Linked DNA regions of Arabidopsis thaliana. The protein of the gene in region 1 interacts with the protein of each later gene in a pairwise test. Each region holds a gene or a part of one and is shown in the gene's direction. Other genes may lie near its edges. The genes, in order: BBX12, LBD16 and BBX29.

Region 1 (4,599 bases):
TATATATAGGGAATAAAGGTATTGTCTGGAGGAAAATGACGTTTCCGTAAACAAAATAATGATAAAACAAAAATAGTGAAAAGAGTGAAAGAGAGAAGTGCAAAAGGGAATCTGTTGGAAGTGTAGAAAGAGAAAGCGACGACCACTTCAATCCAGTGTTGTTCTTTCTTTCTTTTTTCCTAGAAAATTAAAGATATTGCTTTTTACCAAATAATAATTTTATCTTGGTGGTAGAAAGGTTTGCAAGAGTTGTAATATACAGAAAGAGAGACAATGGGACCTAAGAAGGGAATCTCTGAGGAGAGACAGAGATGTTTCAGATCGAAAGAGACGCCAAATTGTGTCTGTCACTCTGTTCTTGTGTGTGGGTCTCCTCTCCTTCCTTCCTTATCGAATCCATATTCCATTTTGCTTTTTTTTCCCTAGAAGATTTTTAAGAATCCGAATTTTAACATAATCTTTTGTTTAGTATAATTCACTTTCCTTCTTTTTTAATTACTTTTTAAGGGTTCTTTAAAGGTTGTGTTTAGTTAAATTTTCGTTTCTCTATTATGAATTCAAGTGATATAGAGAATAAAGATTTAAGTGATATAGATGATAAAAGTTCACTTGTTAAAGAATAGTTGAATATTGAAGTCCTTTATGGTTTCGAAACCGAATTTACAACGTGATTTTCTGTAGGTTTTCTACATAATAAAGAATCAAAATTCGTAAAAGTAAGAATATAGAATATCCATTCCAAGTGAGTTTGAAACACATAATAGCTAAGTAACATGTGAAAAAACCTTAGGGCATAGGAAAATAGCAAAGGTTGGATGTTTTGTTTCTCGCACCACATAATGGGCAATGATTGTAACACCATTCATCTTCTATTCATATAACAACACAAGTACACAACCAATAATGATTTGTCACATAGGTGAAAGCGACACATGTGTGGGAGGAAAATTATGTTCGCTGAGCTTGATGAATCAATGAGAGAAAACATGGCTTTAAGAGATGAATCAAAGATGGATGTAAAAGGTAAAAAACACATCCTCATCCGATTGAAAAGTGGAAATCAGTAATTTATTTCCAACGTTTACTATATTCCAAACCTATGGACAAACATCTTGAGTTTTGGACAATTCTTAGAGATATGTTATTGATATTCGACTAAAAGATAATAACCTTTCTAAAAGAGACCAAGAAAGCAATCTCGTTACCAAGATACCAATGTCAAAAATAGAATGTTGTTATTGACATTCAAAATGACATTGCACAATGTTTCAAGATGTGCTACAACAGAACTTGCAAGATTTTTGGATATTTGGATACTTGGTGTGAATTCATGGCTGGATTTAGGATATGTTCCTAGTATATATATATTGACTTATTTGTTTTCTAAATTGCCAAATAATGATCATCTGGAACGATTTACGAGTTAGTAAACTTCGTACATGTGAAATATTCTCCTTATCGATCATGTCGTTAACATCCTAACGTCCCATCCAAATAATGGGCTTAGAATTGGGCTTAGCAGAAACATGGGCTAAAATCCTTGTGCGTGGATCTGAAAGAAAGGCAGCCAATTAATGTGCCTAAATCCATACACTGTAATGCAGCCAATTATTTCTCAAGTAATTAATTACCTATGTAAATGCAACTTTATTTCCGGTACAACAGTTAGATATTTTCAATTAATGACATCTTCTTCTTCTCCTTTCACTGCAAAACCGAAAGCTTGAGACTTTGAGATTATGTCTATGTCATCTTCTTCTTCTTCCATCGATCACTTCATCACCTTTCGTCATCTTGATCTTATTCTCCACTGTATAAAATCAGCGAGATTTTAAGGGATTGTGAAGGTACCATCTTAAACACAAAATGGGTACTTCTACTACAGAGAGTGTGGTGGCGTGTGAATTTTGCGGCGAGAGAACGGCGGTTCTGTTTTGTAGAGCCGATACGGCGAAGCTTTGTTTGCCTTGTGACCAGCACGTGCACTCGGCGAACCTTCTCTCGAGGAAGCATGTTCGTTCTCAGATCTGTGATAACTGTAGCAAAGAGCCGGTGTCCGTACGTTGCTTCACAGATAATCTCGTATTGTGTCAGGAGTGTGATTGGGATGTTCACGGAAGCTGTTCCTCCTCCGCGACGCATGAACGCTCCGCCGTGGAAGGGTTTTCAGGTTGTCCTTCGGTTTTGGAGCTTGCTGCTGTGTGGGGAATCGATTTAAAGGGTAAGAAGAAAGAAGATGACGAAGACGAATTGACTAAGAATTTTGGGATGGGGTTGGATTCGTGGGGTTCTGGATCTAACATCGTTCAAGAACTGATTGTTCCTTATGATGTGTCTTGCAAAAAGCAAAGCTTTAGCTTTGGGAGGTCTAAGCAGGTAGTGTTTGAACAGCTTGAGTTACTGAAGAGAGGCTTCGTTGAAGGCGAAGGAGAGATTATGGTTCCGGAGGGAATCAATGGCGGAGGAAGCATTTCTCAGCCATCTCCGACGACGTCGTTTACTTCTTTGCTTATGTCTCAAAGTCTTTGTGGTAATGGTATGCAATGGAATGCTACTAATCATAGCACTGGCCAGAACACTCAGGTCCATTTCTCTATCTCTCTCTGGCAATTGATTTTAGGGTTTTAAGTTTGGTCATGTGTTCTTGCTTTTGTGCTTAGAACATGTTACAGTAACTTCAGTTGGATCTTTAGGTCTCCAAATCTGTTAAGTTACCTGTCGGAACGTTGATTATTCTTTCTTGGTTGTCCTAATTAGAGATAAGACTCTGTTTTATGGCCTGGGGTTCACAGTGGAATATACGTTGTTGCAGATATGGGATTTTAACTTGGGACAGTCGAGGAACCCTGATGAACCTAGTCCAGTCGAAACTAAAGGCTCTACTTTCACATTCAACAACGTTACTCATCTCAAGAACGATACCCGAACCACCAATATGAATGCTTTCAAAGAGAGTTACCAGGTATTACATTGTTATTAGGTTTGGAATTGTAAACCATTTTATTTATCTCACAAATTGACAAACACAACGCACATTGCAGAACGTAATTAGAGTTTGTTCTATAGACAATAAACTCCCCCGATCCCTAAATTCAATCCCAAAACACTCCATACCTTAAACATTTGAATATTCCCTCATATATAGCTTAAGTTGGTGACTGATATACTGGTCTGGTAGTAGCTACATCTCATGGGTTTATTTCTATTGGTTAGAACATCTTGGAATGAATGAAACCTGATGTATTTATATCATAATTGATAAGTCAAACTACTATTTTTGGTATATCTTTGTCGGTGAACTGTGATACTTATAAGTAGAATGTAGCAGGAGGATTCCGTCCACTCAACTTCTACCAAGGGACAGGAAACATCTAAGAGCAACAATATTCCTGCTGCCATTCACTCGCATAAAAGTTCTAACGACTCCTGTGGCTTGCATTGCACGGAACATATTGCTATTACTAGTAATAGAGCCACAAGATTGGTGGCGGTAACGAATGCTGATCTAGAGCAGATGGCACAGAACAGAGATAATGCTATGCAGCGGTACAAGGAAAAGAAGAAAACGCGGAGGTAATGATGTTCTCCATTTTTTCTTTTAGTTTCCCTTTTGTAAGTTGATTGTCTTTCGAAATCGCTAATTTGTAATTGCTTCAGCAGATATGATAAGACCATAAGATATGAAACGAGGAAGGCGAGAGCCGAGACCAGGTTGCGTGTTAAGGGCAGATTTGTGAAAGCTACAGATCCTTAGATGTCTCTCCACGTTAGGTTTTACATTTGAGATCCTAAGTTAGGAACTTTTTTTGTTTTTTCTACTTTCAACTACCTTGTAAATGTAAATGATCGATCTTCAGCTGCATAATGTGTGGCCAGATTTTTGTAATTTTTACGTTTAACCTTCTAGAAGCAAAGTTTCTTAACCCAATCAAAAGAAGACAGACTCCACAGAAGTTAAACCCGTAAATCTCGGACGTAAAACATGTCACATCACTGGACAAAAAAAAAAAAAAAAGCTTCGTTGAGTGATAGTAGAAAAACCAAAATTCCTCAGGCAATTATTATTAACTCTGTTTGCCTCTATTTTTGTCATCATTCTCAAAAGGGATCAACTACTATATGTAATATACAACTAAGATCATCCATGAGACTAAAAATTGGAGGATATTTACATATATCTGCAACTATAGGGAATGCCTTCCTCCTACAGTTTTTAGGCAGCTACAAACGTCTTACACCTTACATCTTAAATCCTCCTCTGCAAATTCACCAATTAGAACGTATATCAGCAATTCTAGATTTTACACTTAAGCAGAACTTTGCGGAACACATGAAGGGAACCAAAAATCGGATTGCCCACATCTACTTAAACGTGACACACATGATGACTTTTTTACTCTAAACCACACAAAAAACTAATAGACAGTGAAAAGAAGTAAAATTAATGGTTTACCTCTTGTTTGGACATCATTAGGTGGTCTGCACGTTCGGGAAGAGCCTGTGGCGGTGGATGGATCAATGACATTGGGGTTAAAGGAGGCGAGGGAGTGCCTAACTTTTTAGTGCCCAGACTTGTCTTAGACATATCTAAATCTGATG
Region 2 (4,337 bases), 3.5 Mb from region 1:
CAATGTTAAATTGGGATTATGGGAACATAATTACTAAGATGTTTTGAGACAATTAAAACTTTTAAAATATTGACAAATAATTAGTATATTCTTTCAGCCGATATTGATTTGAATTTATCTTTTTTTTTTTCTGGAACATCCAATAAAATTAAAACGATTAGAAAATGGCTTAGCATGGTTCATGCACATAAATGAAATACATAAAAATGATTTTATTTCACTAAATATAATTCAGCTAACTCATTTGCAAGTTTGATAACATGACTGTAGTTGAGAAAAAAAATGAAACTATAGTTAATTTGGTCTTGTTTCTCAAATTTTCGGTTGCTTATTTGATTTTTTTTTATTTACATGATAACAAACTTACCAACTATAACCATATCCGAGTAACTTTTAAAGTACACGAGCACTAAGTGAAGAAAGTCACATGCGTACACTAATCCTAATTGAATCACACGATTTCTCTCGTGTGCAAAATCCGTAAGTACATAATATTAATACTTTTTTTTGTAACATATTAAATTCTAATAATCTCCTCAGGTGATTTGAATCCTAGTCTGTACCAGCTACATACTCACTCCATGTAACCAAATATTCCTAAGCCACCTAAGCAGATCCAGCACGATCAATCAATATTACGAGCTTTAGTGTTTGTTTTGTCATAAAGGGAGTTTAATTAGCTTATAATTACGCATTTAACAATTATACTTACATAAATGGGCTTCAAATACATTCATGGCATTAGCATTTGTCGGTACATCTTTACCGGCATTTGCCGGTTCATCCGGTCCCCACACTTCACGACAAACAGCAGCAGTTCCGATGTCCGGCGTTCGGCGGAAGAACTTATAAAATAACTTTTCTAAAATTAAAATAAAAATAAAGAATGAATGAAAGAAGATAGACAAAATTGATTATTAATTGAGTTTGCTTTGAAGCTCCAAGAACCAAACGTATCCGGGTATAAAATAATACGAGATAAAGTGATAGAAGACCTAAGACTACCTCATTACTAAAAATATGGATATTTTTCTATACAAATCCACGAATGAAAAGAAAAAGAAGTTGGACTAATTAAATTGAAATCCAATAATTGTAAATATAATATTAAAACCCAATAAATTAGAAGTCTCATGTTGCAGTCTCCATTATTGATTGTCTCCTTAGAATCCAACATGTGACCCTCCATTGTCTACCATTCACACCCTTTGGCTCACTCGATAAATTTGGACATTAATTGCATTCATTTTATTTGTAAGAACCAGAATCTCAGTAGATGTTATTTGTGTTGAGTAAACTGTTGTTATTTATAGACTAGGCTATTCTTCGTATACACTTTGATACTGATTTTTAGTTCATCATCTATCTACCGACTAAATATAGTGTTTCTATGTGGCTTCTCCTCAAATGTCAAATTTATTTCTTTAATGTTGTTTGAGTTTCAAACTTGCAAAGTGCAAACCAATTTTGGTTGTTATACTAAAACCACACATATAATTAAAGACACCCACTATAGCATAAAATTCGTCGTGTAAGCAATTTTACTATAGTCTAAACTCCATAAAAGGACGTCGAAAAATATTGTGATATTGGAATTATAGTGTCAGTTTGTTTTTCTTTGGGCAAATGGATTGTAGTTTCATTATATATTACAATTTATAAACGAAACGATAAGTATGGCTCATACTTTAGTGATGGAGAATTAAAGTATTTTATATTCAGAGATGACACAATATGGTAGACCAAAAATAACTAATTAAAATAGTATCATATTAGATATTTATATGTGATTGTAAATTTGATCATTGAGTGAACATTTTAAATTAGTATGCCCAAGAAAGAAAAGAAAAAAAAAAAACTCTTTCTCTCTCATGATAATGTTCCTTTTATAAAATCCACCCAAAGACACCAAACACTTCTCCATCATCATTTCATTTCTTGTTCTTTTTCCACCATCACCATTTCCTAGTTCGCTCGTGCACATCTCCGACGATCCCAATTCTAAAATCATCACTTCTTCCAATCTTTTCAACATCTCTTCAAAATATCCAGTCAACAAAAAAAAAAGTACTTAAAACAAGGAAACCCCTTCTTTCTTTTTGTACATATAACATAAAAATCATCACTTTTTTGTTCGTTTCGCCGATGGCATCTTCCGGTAACGGTACAACGGCGGGGACAGGTTCACCATGCGGTGCATGCAAGTTCTTGAGGAGGAAGTGCGCATCCGATTGTATATTTGCACCGTACTTCTCATCGGAGCAAGGAGCAGCAAGATTCGCAGCTATTCACAAGGTGTTTGGAGCAAGCAACGTTTCTAAGCTCTTGCTTAATGTTCCAATCCATGATCGATGTGAAGCTGTCGTCACCATCGCCTACGAAGCTCAGGCTCGTCTTCATGACCCTGTTTATGGATGTGTCTCTCATATCTTTGCCCTCCAACAACAGGTAATTGACCGAGTAAATCGGTAGTGCTCCATCGGTCTTTATAGACTTTTTGTTTAGTTACTAACGGAATTTATGTGGTGGTTGACTCGTATGATATTTCCTGCATGAGATCGAATGTTCTCTGAATCTTGATGAATTAGCTAGGAACAACTTCTTTTCCCATCATTTCTTTTGTTTTCACATTAGGGCTTTTCTTCCTTTTTGCTTTGCCTAATTTTTTTTTAAAATTAAAGTTTGAGATTTTAATAATTTAGTTTTAAGAAAACGTTACAACGATAAATAATCAGTTTTCCAATAAATATTTGTCATGATGTTTTCATTTCTTATGTTTGTCATTTTCGATTCGCCAAAATCTTGAGTAAACGACACTGTACATGTTCTTTCCGTTTCATGAAAATTGATGTTTTGAATATTTTTTGCATATTAATGAAACGCTTACAAAAGTAAACATATTTATACTGATGCATTTACTATTCTAGGAATATGAAATTATATATGTGCTAACATTTAGATATACCAAATAGACTTACATAAAAACATTTCATTTTCTTTTGGCACAAAACATCAATTTCAATGAAGAAAAATAGACTATAAAACATACATATTCACAATAAACGAAGAAGCCTTTACTAATTCGTCTACATATGATCTTACAACTTTTTTTTTTCTTTTTAGTAAATGATCTTACAACTTATGAATAGAATTGGAATCAATCTTGTTTAACTTAGCGTTTGATGCGTTTATATAGGTGGCTTTCTTGCAATCACAAGTCATGCAAATGAAGGCACAGATAGCTGGCCACCAGACGTCAGCCGCCGGAGATCTAAGACACAGCTCGGAAAGTACCAACCAGTTTATGACGTGGCAACAAACTAGTGTCTCTCCGATCGGTAGTGCATACTCAACACCGTATAACCATCATCAACCTTACTACGGTCATGTAAACCCTAACAATCCGGTCTCGCCACAGAGCTCGCTAGAAGAATCTTTCAGCAACACGAGCAGTGACGTCACCACAACAGCCAACGTGCGAGAGACTCATCATCAAACCGGAGGAGGAGTATACGGTCACGATGGAATAGGGTTTCACGAAGGATATCCTAACAAGAAGAGATCAGTGAGTTATTGTAGTAGCGATTTAGGTGAGCTTCAGGCTTTGGCTCTTAGAATGATGAAGAACTAAGATAAGTTGGTAAGTTATGTAGACAGTCAGAGAACAAATGAGATGTTTTTATTCGAAGAAAAAAAAAACAAGACAATAGAACATTCCATGTTCACATGCTATCATCAATAAGATGTCTACTACACATCCATGTTTGCTTTAAGTCACTGGCCATTGATCAATCACTGAAATATTTGACTTGACAGTAATTTTTTTAATCGGTTTAGCTGAACCGATAAATCTGATAATTTGTTTTGGAAAGAATACCAATTGTTGAACGGAGAATTGAAACAGAAATGATCATTTAGTCATGATCGATCAATATTACAAATCTTCTAAAAGAAAAGAAATATTCAACAATCATGGAATTCATATATGGTTTTGTTTAGTTCATATGGCTTTATTTGTTTATCAATATAGATGTTTATATTTGACTAATCTGATATTCACGTATTCAATGCCTTATCATAAGCTTTTTGATTACCCACAACAAAAAAAGAGTTTATAAGTAACTAATCGAGGTCACTCGACATTATATATAAATCCATATTCGATGGATAATATAAAACCAAGCAAAGAAAGAAGTAATGTCACGCGAGTAAAGAGAAAATAATATGTAGGATATATAAATTTTATAGGTTAGTAATAAAAATGCTTCTGTGTAATGTAGTAGACTGAGCTCCATCACCTTGTATGACTTTGTTTAAGGATTCACTAAATTTCCTTT
Region 3 (3,642 bases), on another chromosome or scaffold:
AATGATGCACCTCTCATAGAGTCATCGGTATCCCTGATAAAAAGAATCAAACGTGGAATGGTCCGAATGAATAAAATCTTAGTGTACATATATATAAATCATATAATTTGATAGAATTTATGTTGAAAATGTAAATAATATGTATTTTTATCAACAAAAAAATTTAAAATTATTATAATTGGGTTGATCACCCATACTGAACAAATTTAACAATTTCTATTGTAAATTTGTAATCCACTTCTCTTTTTAATAAATCTTTAAAGAAACTTGCAAAAGAAAACATAAATGGAAAAGAACTAACAAAAAATAAGGAGTAATTCGTAAGATAGATGTGTATTGATTCGAGGCTTCTTCTAAGTTGTTCTAAAGTTGTCATCCACAAACATTTAAAAGTAAAAAAACAAAAAACCATAAAACTCAAAACACCTCCACTCATCAGCGCTTTTTTAATGCATGTGGCTCTCAAATGAAGACATCTCGTGTTCCTTTGATTCTTCACAATTCACACTTCACCCTTTACACCACTAATCTTCGCCACGTAAAAATTTCTCAAGCATGTTACGTAGGCCCAACTTTACCATTTTTTTTGTTCTTATATATATTTTACGTATTATTTGTTATCCTAAAATGACTTTCAATCCATCTTTGCTAGTCTTAATCTCGATTTCGTGATACAAATTAATTCCTTTGATCAAATGAATACAAATAATCAAATTAATTCATCTTTGATCATAGATGAATTAGTTTGTTCTATGGATCAAAACCACAGATCAAACTCTATCATACAAAAATCGTTGTGATTTTCTTTTAAAAACTCACAACTGTAAACATTTGAAATGACAAAAAATATTTGTCTAACTACAAGCTTCTTAGCTATCTATCTATCCTGTTTTTTAGATAAAAATTCGTAATACCTTTCATTTTTTTAATCCAGGTTTAATAATTTTTCAAATATATATTCTATATTCTTTTTAATTACCATTAGCAAATAACAAGTAATATATCGAATTGCCAATGATGTGAAGTAAAAATGTAAAATTAGTGGTTGGATTTATTTATTTATTTTTATTTAGAGAAAAAGACATTTAACTCGAATTATGTAAAATATGGAACGCTAAAAGTGGTTGATAAAATCATAAAATTAGGTTCTTCTCCTAGTAACCATGTTGATTCATGGACACCAAAATTTCCGAACCCAAAATGCGATATTAAAAATCCGATCATCATTATTATCCTACCGTAATACCAACGATATAAATGATATTTAATTCACTTTTCATTTTCGAAAACAAAACGCTTGGACCGGAACGAGAGAGGAATACTGAAAAAAGTAAAAAATGAAAGAAAAAAGAGTGGACCCATTAGACGTGTATTGAGGACCAGACAAATCCCAGGTGCGGATCACGTGGTTCTAAGTCTATTACAGAACCTGATTCGTCCACGTAGGATAACTCAGAATCTTCCCTCTCCTCTATACGAGGCTAATATCTCGCCACGTCATTAACTAAAAATCTAACCGCATAAAAATATCTGATGAAACATAAAACGAATAATATCTCGACACGTAAGACTTCGCCCATAGGAGAGCCTTGTCCCAGTACATGGTTTCAGGACCAAGTAAATAACAACATTTCCTTTAATTTTTATTATTATTATCATCTCTCCTAAATTTAAGAATTCGAGAATAATACTCAGCCGCGGAAACCTTAATCAATTTCAAACACAGATTTAGAACTACTAATACAAAATTATCCACAAATTATCCACCATAAAAATTAAAGTTTGAACGAATCCTTTAATCTTATTCTAATTTAAAATTAGGAAGCTTCTTTGCATTTCATTAAAAAATTACGTGAAAAATCGTTTCGTTAATATCAAAAAGACGACAATATCCTCGAAAAGAATTAAATCACATAAAAGTCGCCACGAAATTCTCATTTTACAATTCTCTATTACGCTGTCTCTTATTCGTGTCCGCAGAAGAAACGAGAGAAGAGAGAGAAGCAAAAGACCTTACCAAGAATATTTATAACACACAAACATCTAGAGACAGAGATAGACATAGAGAGAGAGCTTGTGGTTGTGGTTGTGCGAGATAATATCTAGAGATGGGGAAGAAGAAGTGCGAGTTATGTTGTGGTGTAGCGAGAATGTATTGTGAGTCAGATCAAGCGAGTTTATGTTGGGATTGTGACGGTAAAGTTCACGGAGCTAATTTTCTGGTGGCGAAACACATGCGTTGTCTTCTATGTAGCGCGTGTCAGTCACACACGCCTTGGAAAGCTTCTGGGCTGAATCTTGGCCCAACTGTTTCTATCTGTGAGTCTTGTTTAGCTCGTAAGAAGAATAACAACAGCTCCCTCGCCGGGAGGGATCAGAATCTTAACCAAGAAGAAGAGATCATTGGTTGTAACGACGGAGCTGAGTCTTATGATGAGGAAAGCGATGAGGATGAAGAAGAAGAAGAAGTGGAGAATCAGGTTGTTCCGGCTGCGGTGGAGCAAGAACTTCCGGTGGTGAGTTCGTCGTCTTCGGTTAGTAGTGGTGAAGGAGATCAGGTGGTGAAAAGGACGAGACTTGATTTGGATCTTAACCTCTCCGATGTATGAATATGAATCTTTTTCTTTATCTTCTTTTATTATTAGGAAATGATTAAGAAATCTGAAACAATTCTTTTTGAAATGCAGGAGGAGAACCAATCTAGACCATTGAAAAGATTATCGAGAGACGAAGGTTTGTCAAGATCAACTGTTGTGATGAATAGCTCAATCGTGAAATTACACGGAGGGAGGAGAAAAGCAGAGGGATGTGATACATCATCGTCGTCTTCGTTTTATTGAAATCGCCAAGGAAAGTAGAGATTGTAGCCGTTGATGATTCTTTTGTTTGGTTGATTAGATTAATCCTCATCGTTCATTTACTAACAACAATACTTTTAGTGAGTTGAGTTAGTTTAAAAACATTTCAATATAATGATTTTTTTTTGTGTTTTTTTTTCTGTGTTACCTAGAATATATATGTTCATATGTCTAGTATAAAATCATATAACATAAAAAATAAAATGAAGCAAAGTTGTTCAGAAAATGATTAAGAAAATGAAGCTGTTTTCTATTTATTTATTTTTTAACGAAAATGATTAAGAAAATTAATTAGTGAAACAAGAGATATTATTATAAATTTATAACGTGAGAAGGATTACCAGCCAAAACCAAAATTTATTATGATGTCAATTTTATTTGCCTTCCCAGAACTAGAAGTGTCTGTGTCATTGTGATGTTACAACTGAAGAGTACATAACGTATGAATGTCCGTTAGCTTTGTAAATTGTAACTACGACCACTAAAAAGAATCAAACAAAAAAGTTGTCAAGACTTAGAAAAAAGAAGATATTTAGTACCATGGGGTCCTCCTTTAAAGTTTTTTTAAAAAAAATTTATTTGTCAAACGCTTTGAACCCATCGTGTCTTTTGTATCTAAACCGTGTTCGAAGCTCCAAAAAAATAAAAAATGATGCTCTCATGATTTATATGTAACTAAATAAATTGGTTTTATTTCTAATTTTGAATCTATTTGTTTTGTGAGAAATGAGAAGATCCAAGTTTTTGGTTTCTTGATCGTATATGATAAATACAGTATACAGTA

The links.
Region 2: the proteins of BBX12 (region 1) and LBD16 interact in a two-hybrid assay, tested with the Arabidopsis thaliana proteins (one large-scale study listed by BioGRID).
Region 3: the proteins of BBX12 (region 1) and BBX29 interact in a two-hybrid assay, tested with the Arabidopsis thaliana proteins (one large-scale study listed by BioGRID).

The regions. Positions count from the first base shown.
Region 1 is NC_003071.7:14,187,314-14,191,912, reverse strand, and holds BBX12 (B-box type zinc finger protein with CCT domain-containing protein), read left to right. Parts: upstream 1-1,658; 5' UTR 1,659-1,866; coding exon 1,867-2,583; intron 2,584-2,812; coding exon 2,813-2,962; intron 2,963-3,325; coding exon 3,326-3,573; intron 3,574-3,660; coding exon 3,661-3,754; 3' UTR 3,755-3,990; coding exon of another isoform or gene 3,991-3,993; 3' UTR 3,994-3,999; downstream 4,000-4,599. Other genes in the region: AT2G33490 (hydroxyproline-rich glycoprotein family protein), read right to left, coding at 4,247-4,258, 4,454-4,599.
Region 2 is NC_003071.7:17,661,523-17,665,859, forward strand, and holds LBD16 (lateral organ boundaries-domain 16), read left to right. Parts: upstream 1-1,830; 5' UTR 1,831-2,145; coding exon 2,146-2,448; intron 2,449-3,196; coding exon 3,197-3,631; 3' UTR 3,632-3,815; downstream 3,816-4,337. UniProt on the Arabidopsis thaliana protein: Transcriptional activator. Involved in lateral root formation. Regulated by the transcriptional activators ARF7 and ARF19. Functions in the initiation and emergence of lateral roots, in conjunction with LBD18, downstream of ARF7 and ARF19.
Region 3 is NC_003076.8:22,113,782-22,117,423, reverse strand, and holds BBX29 (B-box type zinc finger family protein), read left to right. Parts: upstream 1-1,884; 5' UTR 1,885-2,108; coding exon 2,109-2,603; intron 2,604-2,687; coding exon 2,688-2,840; 3' UTR 2,841-3,120; downstream 3,121-3,642.